Schizosaccharomyces pombe: one gene and its partners. The protein of the gene in region 4 interacts with the protein of the main gene of each other region in a pairwise test. Each region holds a gene or a part of one and is shown on either strand. Other genes may lie near its edges.

Region 1 (4,293 bases), 3.1 Mb from region 4:
ATAATTGAGATGTGCTTTTCTGAAATATATCCCCAATAGCTCGCTGCAAGACTTCCCAATGTGTAGCAAAGTCTACTTGGTTAGCAGAAAACTAAATGTCAGTATGTGAGGAAAATAATAAGGACAGCATGCATCAGGTACACTTACTTTTCGTGGCGCTCGAATTTTTAACTTCGCTGACCGCTGCATTAATAATGGAATTTAAAGTTAAGTTTCAACAAAAAAGCTAAATATATGGGCATATGAGTTTGCATAAAGAAACGCCAGCACAGACGGAAGTAATGGTACAAAAGGTGGTAGAAGGTACTAACTACGAACAACATTCTCCGAACACAAAAATTTTTCAAACATAATGTGGAGCTTTGCACGGTATACTCAAAAATTCTGTTTACGAAATTTGCAGTTAAAAAATTTTTCAAACAAGGTAAAGGTTTCAAGTTTACTTTTCTGTTCCCCGAATGTGAGAAACATTTCTAATTGGCAATGCAAACGCTTCACTCAAAGCGATGCTAAAGATCTTGCAAGTGGTGTTCCCTCTGTAAAATCAGATGCTGATCAATTACAACCTAAACCGACTTATAATGTTTCTTTTACTTGTACCGTGTAAGTATTTATAATTTCATTGAAGGATACTAACCAAATGAAAGATGTAACACTAGGTCAAATCACAATTTCTCCAAGCAGGCCTACCATAATGGGACCGTTTTAGTTCAATGTCCTAAGTGCAAAAATCGGCACTTGATGGCTGATCATTTAAAAATATTCTCTGAAGAACGGGTGACGATTGAAGACATTTTAGCTAAGAAAGGGGAAACTTTTAAAAAAGGCTATGGTCAAGTAATCAATGGCAATGTTGTAGAATTTAAGCCCCCTCAATTTAAAATTCGACCAGCAAAATCATCTTCTTCCAATTCTTCCAAATGAACTAGGAGAGCGATCAAATTGGGTTTAGGAGCATATAAATTGCAAGATATAGTCATTGTTTATTTTAATTTCTATAGTATATATTATTTTTATTTATTTTTGTAATACTTTGGTCAATATATACGACGTTCTAATAGAACATTTAATTATTATATGAGCTTGTTAACTTGAAATTATCTTTTGAATTTTTAGACTAGATGTGATAATTTAGCAATCATTGAGCAAATCATATCCAAAAAAAAATAAATTAATTAATTAATTATAAAAATTAACGATTTTAGAGATCTAAATGGGCTATACAGAATTATTGCAAACGAATGTAAAACATTTTTCAATATATAAGTTGCTAATTTACCAAAATCAAAATTTAGTCTTTAAAGATGCTTAATTAATATTTCTATTTTAATAGCGCGTTTTGTATAGTGCTGACTATTTTATTCATTCCAATAAACAATACAAACTGAATTTATTATTTTTAAAAATATAATTGATTTCATCATACTCTCTCTACCTTACTCTTAAAATTATTTACGGACTATGAAGCTGACACAAAGTGTAAATTACGCAGTGTCTTGCATTTTGCTAGTGAACACCACTAGGTTTGTTTACTCTATGATATTTTGAGAACCGACCATCTTCTTTGCTGTTGGTAGGAGACTTCTAGGATGTTACGTTTATTTCGATTTGATGTTCTTGAGACTTCGACCAAAGATACTGAAAGACCCAATTCTAAAAGTTCACGGTTAAGTTCGACTTCTGGTTCAAGTCATCCATCTTCATCTTCACGTTTGACCGTTCGAAGCGCAGTTCCGGAAAAGAGCGCTTTTGGTTCCATAGAATTTATTTTTTACTTTTCTGTCATTCTATCGATTCTAACAATTGCTTGTTTTAAAATTCATTATGTTAGTTCTCGTAAGTGTCAAAAGCTTTAATCAGCCTTTTCTATTTATCAATTTGAAATAAAGTAAGCAACTAACTAGGCGTCAGCAAAACATCCCAATTACAAAAACATTGAAAAATATTTAAAGCCTGGGTGGTTGTTTGGACAAAAAGTCGATTCCGCTGATTTTCAGTATTCCGCGTTTCGTGAAAATATGCCAATCTTACTACTTGTAATTATTGTCTATAATTTTCTCTGGAGACTCGTTAAGCTTGTCTTCACAAAAAATACTAATGATGAACTCGCTATAAAAAACAACTATCGACTTTGCTTCTCCCTGCTGTTTGCATTACTTGTCTACGGGACTGGCGTTATATATGTTTTAACAATTGCATTGATCAATTATCTCATTTCTAAGTCTCTAAAGAACAGTATTTTTAATCCACTCTTGACATGGACATTAGATATATCAGTGGTGTTTTTTAAAGAATATTTTGCCTATTGCAAATTTTCTAGCCTTCATCCAGGCCTAGGGTTTTTGGTACGCTATCTTTAGCCATCAGATGTTAATCTTTTTACAGGATCAATATACTGGGATTCTTGAGCGCTGGTATGTTCTTTTTAACATTACCATGCTTCGGCTCGTGTCATTTAATATGGATTATTACTGGTCCTTAAAGCACAACTCTGAAAAACTTAACGTAAGTTTGAGCACATGCCTTTTGAGTTTATAAATAATAACCATTAGACTCTAATATTTGACAAAGATCGTGAGCCAACAACATTGACGTTTCGTGAAAGGGTTGATTATTCTTGTCTTGATGAAGATTATAATCTTAAGAATTTTTTGACATACATTTTTTATGCCCCTTTATATTTAGCGGGCCCTATCATTTCGTTCAACAATTTTATGTCCCAGGTAAATTGTTTAATTAAATTTTCTGCTAATATTTAGATGAAATATCCCACAGTTTCAACGCTAAAATACAGGAACCTTCTTTATGCAATTCGATTTTTAGTATGTGTTCTCACCATGGAGTTTTTACTTCACTATGCATACGTTACTGCTATTTCTAAGGACGGAAATTGGAATCAATACAGTGCGGTTGAATCCGCAATGATAAGCTTTATCGTTCTATTTATGACTTGGCTAAAATTGCTTATACCGTGGCGATTATTTAGATTATGGTCATTAATTGATGATATCGAACCTCCCGAAAACATAGTTCGATGCATGTGTAACAACTATTCAGCTGTTGGATTTTGGCGAGCATGGCACCGTAGTTTCAATCGATGGTTGATTAGGTATATTTACGTTCCTTTAGGAGGAAGTAATCATTCAATCTTGAACTTATTTATTATATTCACCTTTGTCGCTCTTTGGCATGACATCAGTTGGGAATTATTTGCGTGGGGTTGGTTAATTGTACTATTTATTCTTCCAGAACGATTATGCTGCTTTATGTCGCGTAGAACTGGTCTTACTAAGCACCCTTACTATAGATACATCTCTGGATTTGGGGCTGCTCTAAATATTTACTTTATGATCATTTGCAACTTGATTGGATTCGCAGTTGGAATTGATGGAATTAAAAATGTTCTTGTCTCATTTTTTCTGACCCTCAAAGGTAAGAAATTTATCTATTTTCGGATTTGTATAACTAATTATTATAGGTGCAATGTCCGCGATAGCAGCATTTATAATGTTCTTCTCTGCTGTACAAATCATGTTTCAAATTCGCGTAAATGAAGAAGAAGAAGGAATTAACTTGCGTTGCTGAATATTAGTATTAAAAAAAAAATACGTGGATCATTACTAATTTTTTTATTTCGTACTTTTTTAATACTTGTTTGTTGTAATAATCATCAGTAATTATTTGGAAAATTACCTGTTCAATTTTGTGAGGTTCTTACTGTGGGATTGAGTATTAGTAACAATAGCACATACCGCGTTTTTAAAATAATGGTTCTGGTATAATTTACAAAAAGAATGAATAATTACTAAATTTACTTGTGACTTTTTTAAAAGTCCATCCAAATAATTGTTTACAGTTTTATCGTAAATAAATACTCAGAAGCACATATTGCAAGTCACAGACTTCTAACTCACTATACCCCAGATATATGCTAGCGTAGCTTAGCCTTATTCCTAGCCTTGCCAACTAACCAACAAGTGCAATAGTTTCTATGCAGTCATATTGAATTTATACCCGTATTTTATGAGCGTATTATGAACACTATAATTGGTACGATTTTAATATGATCTTACATTAACTTTTAGACGCTTCGAATGATGCTAAATATCGAAAATACCAAGACGCCATACGAAAATGCATAGCTTTATTCCAAACTGTAGAACAATGGCCCGATTATATCTCCTTTTTAACAAAGCTGCACAAGGTAAGTGATTTCACTTATATTTATACACAGACTAATATCAAGGTTTTGCAAACTCACTCTTCGTTTGTTAATATTCCGTGTAGTTTATT
Region 2 (4,146 bases), 1.5 Mb from region 4:
TCGTTGTTTTTAGTTTTGAAGTATTCACGACCATCAACGACGCCTCTGTTTTTACCAAACTCGGCAAATTCAGGTAAAAGCTCCAAGCCGACATACACACCTTTTCGGTTTTCCACTTCTCCAGCATAACGGACAAACCCCCGCTCTCCGGTTATTACCTCAACGACACTGCCAAGAGGAAACATTTAGAGGAAAATTTAGGAATATTAATAAAAGATTCAAAAGTTTCTCGATGACAAAAATAGAGCTATAAGGTTTGAAGGAGTAAAGTTGAAAATGGAACGTAGAAAATGCTGACGTGGTATAAGGAATAAAAAGAAAGAGACAATTTGAAACCAAAAGATTGTAATCAAGTATTAGGGGGATAACAAAAAATTCAATTCGTAGATAAATGAATATATCTATTTGCTGCCGACAAAAGATCGTAAATTAAGTACTCAAGTAACCAATTTTCCAGCTTATTTGATTTGATATATGTTATACTAGCAGTGAGAAAGGGAGAAGAATTAAAAGAAGGTTAACCAATATCCAAAATTGAGGTAACTATTGATGAAATTACTATGGTCAAGTCTCAACTTTCCAATTAAGTTTTTAGATTATCAATTAAAGATCTTCATCTAAACAAAATTTAAAAGAAATATAATAAATACAGTTGAAAGCAAGCAAACGCACCGTGGTGTACTAATCCTATGAATATAGGTGGGTACTGGTAAAGTGGTATTTGCTCGAACTGCTTAGAGGTAACATTGCTACTTAATCAAAATTAAAAGTAAACAAAACAATGAATAAATATACTCAATACAAAATAGTTGTTTTATCACAACAACAAATCTTTGTTTACTAACTAACTCTTTAATAAAAATTATATGTATCAGATGTTGTAAAACTTATTATACTAGAGTATGAAAGCAATTTACGAAGTGCAAAGCGGTGTGTTTTTATTAATAGATATTACTCTCATAGATTTCATGTTTCAATCTGTTACCAAGACAATAGTCATCTTTCTCTTTAACCCGGTAGATATTTGCACTTAATAATGATGGACTTGCTAAAAAAATATTTGCTATTTGAGATTTTGCTAAAGGCTAACTATAAACTATTTAAAAAAAAAACATATTAAATATTGTGATTGTCCCAATTTTGAGCTAATGGTGTACGAGAATAAAAAAACTTGTTTGATACCTGACAGTTGTTATGCGTCAGACTAAAGCATATTCTAATGATTGAAGATTCAAAGACTACGAGTATAGCGCTTTCAAGGCTTTATGACTAGTGATAGTTTGTAAACTTTTATTTTATCTCATTGTTTGCATTACTCTTTTTTTTTACTTAATGGGGAGAACAATTAAAGCCAAATACTTAGTATATTAAAATGCAAACGTTTACTGTAAACATGTTACTGCAACCTTCATTATAGCAAGACATTGCGCTCCGTAATTCACAAAGTAAGAAGTAAAATAAATATAAAGATCTAATGCAAATACAACTTACCAGATAGGTCTTTCAAATCTAATCATCTAAGTTTAATGCGATTTGTTTTTCGTTCCGGAACCTTCTCCATTATTCTTTCGATTATGTTTGCTGATCCATCTCATCGATCAAAGCCGTAGTACTACCAAAACACACGCAAAACCGCGCACCGTAGTTATCAACTACACCACCCAACACGTGGAAATGAAGTACGGAAAGGTATCTTTTCTAGCGCTTTTGTGCTCTTTATATGTTCGGGGATCACTTGCTGATCCTGAATCCGAACAAGAACCTTTGGTTTTTAACCCAACTGAAGTGAAAGCGCCTCTTGTTGAGCAGTTTCAAGGTGCATGGTCTGAACGTTGGATTCCTTCACATGCTAAACGATTTGTAAATGGTATTGAAGAAATGAGCTATGTAGGTGAATGGACTGTTGAGGAAAGTTCTGGTCCCGGTGCCCTTAAGGGTGAAGCCGGTCTCGTTATGAAAGACGAAGCCGCTCATCATGCTATTTCTTATGAATTTGATGAACCCATAAATGAACCAGAAAAGGATTTGGTAGTTCAATATGAGGTTAACCCCGAAGAGGGTCTGAACTGTGGTGGTGCATATTTAAAGCTCTTAGCAGAACCCACTCATGGTGAAATGTCAAACTCCATCGATTACAGAATCATGTTTGGACCCGACAAATGTGGTGTTAATGACCGTGTTCATTTTATCTTCAAGCATAAGAATCCCCTTACGGGTGAGTATTCCGAGAAGCATCTCGACTCTAGACCCGCCAGCCTTTTGAAACCTGGTATTACAAACCTTTACACTTTAATTGTGAAGCCTGACCAAACCTTCGAAGTCCGTATTAATGGCGATGTTGTCCGTCAAGGATCTTTGTTTTATGATTTTATACCTCCTGTTCTTCCTCCCGTTGAAATTTACGATCCCGAAGATATCAAGCCTGCTGATTGGGTTGACGAACCTGAAATTCCTGACCCCAATGCGGTTAAGCCTGATGATTGGGATGAAGACGCTCCCCGTATGATTCCTGATCCTGACGCAGTGAAACCTGAGGATTGGTTAGAGGATGAACCTCTTTACATTCCTGATCCTGAAGCTCAGAAGCCTGAGGATTGGGATGATGAAGAAGATGGTGATTGGATTCCAAGTGAAATCATCAATCCTAAATGCATTGAAGGTGCTGGCTGTGGTGAATGGAAGCCACCGATGATTCGTAACCCTAACTATCGTGGCCCTTGGTCTCCTCCTATGATCCCTAATCCTGAATTCATTGGTGAATGGTATCCTCGTAAAATTCCTAACCCTGACTATTTTGATGATGATCATCCTTCTCATTTCGGTCCACTCTACGGTGTTGGTTTCGAACTTTGGACTATGCAGCCCAACATCCGCTTTAGCAATATCTATGTCGGCCATTCAATTGAGGACGCTGAACGTCTTGGAAATGAAACTTTCCTACCTAAATTGAAAGCTGAAAGAGAATTACTTTCTAAGCAAGAGTCCATGGAAAAGCAATCAATGCATGTTGACGAAGAGTCTAATCAAATTCTTGAGAAGTTTCTTGACGTATATGATATTATTAAAGCTAAACTTCCTCCAAATGTTGCCGAAAAAGTTGACTACTATGTTGAAACCATCATCGAGACTCCTGAAATTGGGATTGCAATTGTTGCCGTTCTTGGCTCTTTAACCGCTGTTATTCTTACTTGTTACTTTTATTTCTTTGCTTCCTCTTCCCCGGCTTCTTTATCTACTGGAACTACGGAAGCTGAGAAAGAGCAGCAAGAGAAGTTTAAGCAAGAGACTGAGACTGAGAAGATAGACGTTTCTTACGCTCCCGAAACTGAATCACCAACTGCGAAGAATGAAGACTAATGAAACTGCTAAAATGTCAAAAGTTTTTCTTATTTTAAGAATCGCATAGAAGTTGCAATAAACTACTTCCTGTTCCTTTGTGGACTTTTGACTGAAGTAAATGAATATATCAATATATATACTCACTAATACAGCATATTTTGTTTACAAAGTTTGACTCAAAGTAGCGACTCTGTTAAAAGCCTTAGTCTAATTATAAAATACTTGAAAATGTTTTCTCTAGTTCTTATTATGAGTAATATCAATAAATAGACTATGAATTTATAAATCGTGGGTAGTACTATCAAAAAACTTTTTACAACTGCGCATTAGTCGTCAGAGAGAAATGATCAGGCATTTCCCATAAACAAGTGCAAGTAATGCGTGAAATTCTGCAATCAAGAGAAAGGATGTTTGTCTACATATCTTGTGAGAATAGTAGAATAAATTGTCAAACTAAAAAGTTCGTTTACTATACGGGATTCAGACATTTTATTGTCCTCAAACAAAATATCGTAACGTTACCTTGAAATGATTGAACAATAATTTGAAGGAAACCACCCAGTCTCGCCAGATCTCTTTCTTCCTTGCCACCATTCGCAAGGATTACCTTGGGTGTCTGTTTTAGATAGAATTGCTATGATATCTCCTTTTTTTAAAGACATTTCCACTCCCGGATCTCTGGACATAAACTCATAATCAGCCTTGCAAAACTCAAGACTATCAATTTTTTTTCTGATTTTTGCTTGTTGAATCTGTTTTTCTTTTTCATAAATATTTTTGAATAACCTAATTATTGCATAAGGTAAG
Region 3 (3,661 bases), on a different chromosome or scaffold from region 4:
ATATTTTCAGACTGCGAGTTTAAAAACAAAATCGATTGACATCGGTATATTTTCTATTGGACCTACGTAAATGAATAAATTACTATAAAAAACATTTCATCTCATTCAAGTCTTAAACTGATCCCATCACTTTATTAAAAGTAAAATCTTCTTATTTTTTTCATTCACGACACTGTGTTTATACGAATTGTTTTATAGGGAATTTTGGCAGTGATTATAACTCAATTTGTAGTTACGTATAAAAGTGTTCTATTCTTTAACAACTTCGAATGTTTGCCTGTTTCTTCTATTTTTTGTATGATAAAATACCACTTTTCGGTAAAATGAATAGTATTGTTGGGTCTTGCTGCTTTAAAAGGGTTAACCATTTAAAGCGTATTTAAGAACTTCGCATTTAAAATATGCCAAAGTATATTAATTGAGAATATGTATAAAAGATGTAAAGGTAATAAATATTACGCATTATGGTAAAAATTGAATTAAGTTGTACTATGGTTCTTACTGTATTTAATTATCTATGACTGTCTGGGAGAAAAACCTTGCAAGTGGCCTAAACTTTTTCATTCAGTCTCTATTAAATGATCTGTCGATTTCTCCACATAAAGTTAGTTTATTGAAATGCTAGCGGGAAACATGGAACAGGCGAATGTTTTTCGTTTAGAAGAAAAACGCTATAAATGTCGTGCCGACACAATTCCTGACATGTCTGAGGTCCTTGATCCTAATGATCCCCAGTCTTTTGGATTTGAAGCTTTAGTTGAAATTAAACCTAGAGTTTTTTCTTTTCAAAAAGCTCCTGGATTATTAATTCTTAAAAACTATGTTTCATCGGAACTGCAAATGCAGCTGTTAAAATCTATAATGTTTACGCAAATTCAAGATCCTGAAAACAAGACCAACCTTTCACCATTTTATCAACTACCATTAGGTAATGATAGCATATGGCGCAGATATTACAATGGTGATGGAGAAAGTATCATTGACGGCCTTGGAGAAACTAAGCCTTTGACGGTTGACAGACTAGTTCATAAAAAGCTTCGATGGGTTACACTAGGTGAACAGTATGACTGGACGACGAAGGAGTATCCTGATCCTTCCAAATCTCCTGGGTTTCCCAAAGATTTAGGTGACTTTGTTGAAAAGGTTGTTAAAGAGAGCACAGATTTTTTACATTGGAAAGCTGAAGCTGCAATCGTAAATTTTTATTCTCCTGGTGACACATTGAGTGCACATATCGATGAATCTGAAGAGGATTTGACACTTCCATTAATTTCTCTCTCAATGGGTTTGGATTGCATATATTTGATCGGTACCGAGTCGAGGTCGGAAAAGCCTTCAGCTTTACGTTTACACAGTGGAGACGTTGTAATTATGACTGGAACTTCTAGAAAGGCTTTCCATGGTAAGCATTGTTCATTCAAATACCTCATTTATAGTCAATTGATTGCTTACTAACTTACCGCAGCTGTTCCTAAGATTATACCCAACTCTACGCCTAATTACCTATTGACTGGAAACAAGGCTTGGGATGGATGGATTTCAAGAAAGCGAGTGAACTTCAATGTTAGACAGGTTAGGCCTTCTAGATAATGTAAATATGGTTATTTTTAATAAAATAGAAATTGTTTTTAGGGCTTAGGAATGATTGATACCATAATTACATATATATCATGTGCTTACTTGTTTTGTCAATATTTTGTTCCTTCTATTGAACTTTCGAAAAATAATTTTTTTATTTAACACTGTATTAAACCACCAAACAATAAGAAACAATTTTTTCTTTAATTTGTCAGTTAATAACTTTCGGCGTAATATAACCAGAACAATTCATTAGCGTACTTTCACAAATTAATTTGACAAATTAAACAATTGTGTAATCCCATTCTTAAAAAAACATAAACCTCGACATTTCCAAGCTTGTTTAGAGAATTATCGTGAAATTACTATCTTGCAGTCCGGAGTTTACTCAATATATTTCAGTTGCTTATTTCCATACAACTACTAACTAGCGAATTCGGTACAAAGCATTTGTCAATTTGAAAAATGAGGGAGGATTTGTTAAGAAACTCCGTTGAATTTTTAAGAGAAAAAACTGTATTAGATGCTCCTGATGTGAAAAAGATTGAATTTCTAAAATCCAAAGGTTTAACTGCCGAAGAAATTCAAGAAGCATTCAAGCTAGCAAAAAATCCGCTATTCCCTTCTTATCCTCGATTTGAAAACACTAGTAATTTTGTTTCAAGAGATTGGAGAGATTGGTTTATTATGGGCGTTATTTCGACTGGATTTGCATGGTCGGCGTATTCATTAGTAAAGGTACGTTCAAAAAACTGAACATTTAAAATATTCGTGCTGTTTTAACATAATTAAATTTAGAAATACATAGCACCAATGTTTCGCGCACCATCTCAAAACGCTTATGAAGCTGATAAAAACGCTTTGGATGCTAAATTTCTAGAAGCTCATAAAATACTCGAAAATTTAGATGAACAAACAAGAAAGCTTTCCGAGAGAACTGAAAAACAGCAAGATGAATTGGACATTGCGTTAGATGATTTAGAAGAGACGTTGAATACTTTGAAGCGTACGTCCGAAAACCGAGATCGTGAAATAGCTAGAATCTCACAAGATGTATATACCATGAGTACTATTACTTTACCACAAAGTCTTGAGCAAATTAAGAAATCTCAAGAAGAAGCATTACAAAACCTTTCGAGAGAAATTAGCTCTCTACGATGTTTACAAACTGATTCAAAAAAAGACGACACTTTCGCTACCACATCAAACTCTTCGATACCAGTATTAGAGAATCCTTTAGATACTTCAGAAGGTTTTCAAACTAAAAAGGTTGGTACTGCCTCCCTTCCAGATTGGCAAATATCAATGCATAACGAGGCTTCTAAAAACATTGATTTCAATGATATTGATCCCGCAGAGTCTTACGTTGCAGAAGATGCTTATTGACAGTAATAAAACAAATCACTAATAACAATTAAATTCAGGATTTTTTCTAGAATAATACTTAATGTCATTTAACTGGTCTGTCAAGACGCATCTTAATCATTTAACAATCTGCATTCTGCATCAGCTAATAAATGTATATTATATAATAAAGGAGAGTCAAGTAGATATAATAAAAAGCAAGTTTGCTGCAAGGTTAAATGTAGTATCTTACATCACAATCTCACCAACCAAACCAACCTTTATTTCTTTATGAGGAAGTACAAGGCAATTTTGAACGCGTACTTCATCATGGACTATACAATCGGCGCCCATAACAGTAATAGCTTGGACTTTAACGCTGTTACGCATAATCGTAGTGGAGTGCTGGCTTGGAAGAGTTGGAGAACCTTCGACTCGAGACCATTTACCAATCTTGCAATGGCGGGAAAGAATGGAATGTAAAACAACAGCATTGGCAGAAATTTCGCAATCCTCTTGAATAATTGAGTTTCGAATACGTGCGCCATCCTCGATGCGAACACGAGCACCAATTGAAACATTGGGTCCAATCTTTGCACCTTTGCTAACAATAGCATTAGGATGAATAAAAACCGGCTGAATGATCTCAGCCTCAGTGTCGGGTTTTGGAAGAGTACCATCATGATATGCCTTTTGTAAATACAAGGAATTAGCAGGAACAGCAGAGCCAGCGGTTTTT
Region 4 (3,715 bases):
CACACTCCTGCTGTTCCTGCTGTCCCGTCTCAAGTCAAAGACCTCCCTTCTATTTCAAAGCCTCAAGAATTGGATGAAGAAGAAGAACTTCGAAAACTACAGGCTGAATTCTCTCTTTAAAGTGACCAGTACGCTTGCTCGGTATTTTTATTATTTTCTCAATATGTTAAAGTCATCTTCTAAGGTTTCTGTTATAACTTATGGAATTATTTAATTTGTCAGTTGTTAGTATTCTATGTTTTCCTTGTTATGAGTCATCATGGAAGCCTAAATACAAATTTTATGTACAATACCATTATTAGACTATAACTTATAGGTCTCCGTCCTCATGTTCGGATGTGTGTTTTTTCATTGTATTTTAATAATTGGTGTAGTTAAATAATCTACGGAAAAACTAGCTGAAGAATTTTACATATTACGTCTTCTTCATTCTACTAAAACAACTGTATCAAATGACTGTTAGTTCAAGTTAACTTTTTAATGTTTTGAGTTATTCCAGACACGTTCATATCTTGTCAAATTGATTAATATTAATCTAAACAGTGTGCTCAGAATCCTGTTGTGTTTAATCATTAAACAGTGTATCAACCTAGCGCTTTTGGTTTATTTGCTTTGGCAAATAGTCAAGCTCAACTGAGGAAACGATAAGAATTCTTCAACAAAATAAAAGTAATGTAAAAACTTAGAAACAGCCATTCTAATATGCATATTCAAGCTGTCAATCAATTTGTTAAAAAATATACATTTAGAGGCTTTTGACACCCTTATTAACAGCAGTGGATAAGATTGAAAAAATACATTATTCTTTGCCAGAAGTAGGATAAACGTAAGGCTTGACCAACATCTCAGAGAAAGACTTCAAAGCTTCAGTACCGCGAACTTCAGCTGGAACTTGCGGTACTTTGACAACATGAAAGTCTTCATAGAGCTCTTCAATTTGCGCCAAATATTTTTGTTGCATTTTTCTTCTAGCCATACACTGGGGACAAGTGGTGTTGGGATCAAGCAAAAGTTGGTTAACAACGATGTTGTGAGTATCAATTTCATAACTAGTAAGTTCTTGAATCATTCTTTCAGTTTCATAAAGAGAAAGGAACTCGGAAATACATACACACACAAAAGTAGTAAGATCTGGATTCTTAAATTGCTTGTTAACTTCAGAAATATTAGCACGCATGCTTTCCATCTTTCCAAATAGATCTTGTTCATTGGCATTTACACCCATTATGCTACCCATTTGGTTAATCATAGGGCCAAATCTACTGGAGAGACCGCCAAGCTTGCCGAGAGCTTTTTCCAAAACAGTTGGAAAATTCAAAAATCTTAACGTATGTCCAGTAGGAGCGGTATCGAAAATGACACAATCAAATTCCATAGATTTGATCTGCTTAAGGATTTCAGCGAATGCCAATGCCTCGTCGATACCTGGTATTGTAAAAGCCAAATCCTGCATCATTCCAGATAAAGGATTATTGGGATTTTGTTGGTCAGCTTGCTCTGTCATTTCCTGAATGGATAAATTAGGATCGATCTCCATGGCACTCAGATTATCAAAACCAGGAACCTTACGAGCGTCTTTTCCAAATTTCGTGCCAAAGGCATCAGAAAGATTGTGAGCAGGATCCGTGGAGATAAGTAGAACAGAGGATCTAACTTTTGACATTTGAATGGCCAATGAACACGACGTAGTTGTTTTTCCTACACCGCCTTTTCCTCCTACAAAAATCCATTTTAAGGAAGTTTGCTCAAGAAGGTTTTCTAAGGTTCCAGGCAATGGGTCGAAGGACATTTTACTTTATTAGAGAATTTTTTTTTTTAATCTGAAGCTAGTCTTCTTATAGACTCTCGTTGACCAGATGCACGATGCGATATGCTGAGGATAGGTGTTACGACAGTTTGCAAGTGAAAATGAAGATCCTAAGTACGCGGCAGATCAGTTCCCAACGATCAGAGATAAAAATTTAATTAAAGACTTAATAATTGTACATTGCAACTACAATTAATAGTGTATAGCATGTTTTGTTCCTATTTTTGATACGCTAGCAATATAACAATTAAGTAAGTTTTTTATCAAGGATTCGTAAAGCCATGCTAGTAGAATGCTAAATACGGTATGCTGAAATTTCATAATTAAAAAAATTCCTTTAAATGGATTTTCTAATCGTATAATATGTTTTGGCCTGCTGAAGCTCGATTACCATATTCGTTATAAAGAAAAGAACTACATGGAATCATTCAACGTAAATCAAGGATCAGAGCTACAGATGTTTGTTGATGACTAAAGCACTCACAAGAAATCAAGGAACAACTTTGAATCATACTGAGCAGAGAATATACTATTTTGTACCATCATATAAATTTGCATCCATATCAACAACATATTTAGTAAACTACCAGTTTTTGCATACCGATAGAGGAGATATATTAAACTGAATTAAAGAAAAAGTTATTATTTCTAAGTCTGAATATAATCCCTGATAAGCAAACAAAGAAAAACATAAAACACACTATCGAAACCCAACACCAAACAAAAACAATCGTAAAAAGTATTAATAGTACATTAAAATCGGATCCTTATGAATACCCCTGTACAATTAAATATGACTATCTTGATTCGCAGCATCCAGTACCAGTGGATGGGGTTCCATAAGTATCACTCGCGAAAAGGAAAAATCCTATCCAAGCACCTACGAAACCGAACAAAATGGCATATCCGTTAAACGACATTACAATCAACATGAGGATGGTAGCGGACAAGTAAAACGATGAATACATGGCTGCTCGTATTAGTTGTTGCCAGACAGTAACATGCACAGTGGAACTTGGAAAGAAGATACGCAGAGGTCCACTTAAAGTTTTGCCATTAGAGTGAGCAACAATCCAGCGATCAAACATTCTTTGAACGAGGGACAAACCTTCAATAGCGACGGCGAAGAAAAAAATTCCAATAATACTACCGGCGAATTTGTTTCCAGTGTTGATATGCCAGGATTTAGCCAGGAAACACGAGTCATGTATATACCAATTCCATAGCATACTCATGCGACATGTCGCAGCACTCGAGTTACTGGAGCTACCCATACCCATGCCACTCATGCCACTCATACTCATCTTACTTAAGCTCATTTTGTTGCAAGAAGCGTTAGCCAAATATTGAGAAGTATCTTAGGTATCTGTCAATAAAGGATAAGAGCCGATAAAAAGAAAGAAAAGAAGACACTCAATGGAAAGCGTCTTAAACTAAAATAACAAGTATAACCGGAACAATGCGAAAACAAATGTCTTTTGTTGAAAGTAAGTTAATAACACTAGTTTTACCACCTTTAAGCGAAATATCTCTCTATGAGCTGGGCCTTTTTCGCAGACAGACAAAATGTATAATTTAGCAACTTCTTACTGCTACCTATACACTTGAATTAGAATGATCACTACAGGTTTTTTTCAAGTCCTGAATGTTCAATTAAGCTGAACGCTCAAATATCGCTTCAAAGTGAACGGGGGTAGGATTACCTTTTATAGCAGTTTAAAAGCATCATCTACTGATATGCGACTTTTTCTCCTTTGGGTAAAAACTACCAGCTATAATCGCTCAGCAAAATTCCCGCCAAATGGTGATTAAGGTATTGCGGCGGGTCGCGTTAATCGAAAAGAATATAAAAATAAAAAAAAAAAGCAAAATTAATTAATTAATTAAATCAAACATACAAAGGAATTT

What was found.
Region 1: the proteins of get3 (region 4) and gup1 interact in a two-hybrid assay, tested with the Schizosaccharomyces pombe proteins (one large-scale study listed by BioGRID).
Region 2: the proteins of get3 (region 4) and cnx1 interact in a two-hybrid assay, tested with the Schizosaccharomyces pombe proteins (one large-scale study listed by BioGRID).
Region 3: the proteins of get3 (region 4) and pex14 interact in a two-hybrid assay, tested with the Schizosaccharomyces pombe proteins (one large-scale study listed by BioGRID).

What each region holds. Positions count from the first base shown.
Region 1 is NC_003424.3:488,427-492,719, forward strand, and holds gup1 (MBOAT family O-acyltransferase), read left to right. Parts: upstream 1-1,553; 5' UTR 1,554-1,589; coding exon 1,590-1,836; intron 1,837-1,911; coding exon 1,912-2,345; intron 2,346-2,385; coding exon 2,386-2,505; intron 2,506-2,552; coding exon 2,553-2,723; intron 2,724-2,759; coding exon 2,760-3,432; exon of another isoform or gene 3,433-3,478; coding exon 3,479-3,585; 3' UTR 3,586-3,755; downstream 3,756-4,293. Other genes in the region: cul3 (cullin 3), read right to left, coding at 1-91, 148-189; TIM23 translocase complex subunit Tim15, read left to right, coding at 353-603, 648-924; dop1 (family protein DOPEY), read left to right, coding at 4,035-4,050, 4,086-4,204, 4,247-4,293. UniProt on the Schizosaccharomyces pombe protein: Membrane-bound O-acyltransferase involved in the remodeling of glycosylphosphatidylinositol (GPI) anchors. Acts only on GPI-anchored proteins, but not on free GPI lipids.
Region 2 is NC_003424.3:2,085,826-2,089,971, reverse strand, and holds cnx1 (calnexin Cnx1), read left to right. Parts: upstream 1-1,647; 5' UTR 1,648-1,674; coding exon 1,675-3,357; 3' UTR 3,358-3,579; downstream 3,580-4,146. Other genes in the region: CLIP170 family protein Tip1, read right to left, coding at 1-185; pex13 (peroxin 13), read right to left, coding at 3,858-4,146.
Region 3 is NC_003423.3:3,730,735-3,734,395, reverse strand, and holds pex14 (protein Pex14), read left to right. Parts: upstream 1-1,996; 5' UTR 1,997-2,043; coding exon 2,044-2,316; exon of another isoform or gene 2,317-2,376; coding exon 2,377-2,964; 3' UTR 2,965-3,099; downstream 3,100-3,661. Other genes in the region: abh1 (alpha-ketoglutarate-dependent dioxygenase), read left to right, coding at 634-1,402, 1,466-1,590; mpg2 (mannose-1-phosphate guanyltransferase), read right to left, coding at 3,172-3,661. UniProt on the Schizosaccharomyces pombe protein: Component of the PEX13-PEX14 docking complex, a translocon channel that specifically mediates the import of peroxisomal cargo proteins bound to PEX5 receptor.
Region 4 is NC_003424.3:3,635,176-3,638,890, reverse strand, and holds get3 (GET complex ATPase subunit Get3), read right to left. Parts: upstream 1,882-3,715; 5' UTR 1,790-1,881; coding exon 800-1,789; 3' UTR 501-799; downstream 1-500. Other genes in the region: ESCRT III complex subunit Vps32, read left to right, coding at 1-120; Cu transporter complex subunit Ctr5, read right to left, coding at 2,605-3,126. UniProt on the Schizosaccharomyces pombe protein: ATPase required for the post-translational delivery of tail-anchored (TA) proteins to the endoplasmic reticulum. Recognizes and selectively binds the transmembrane domain of TA proteins in the cytosol.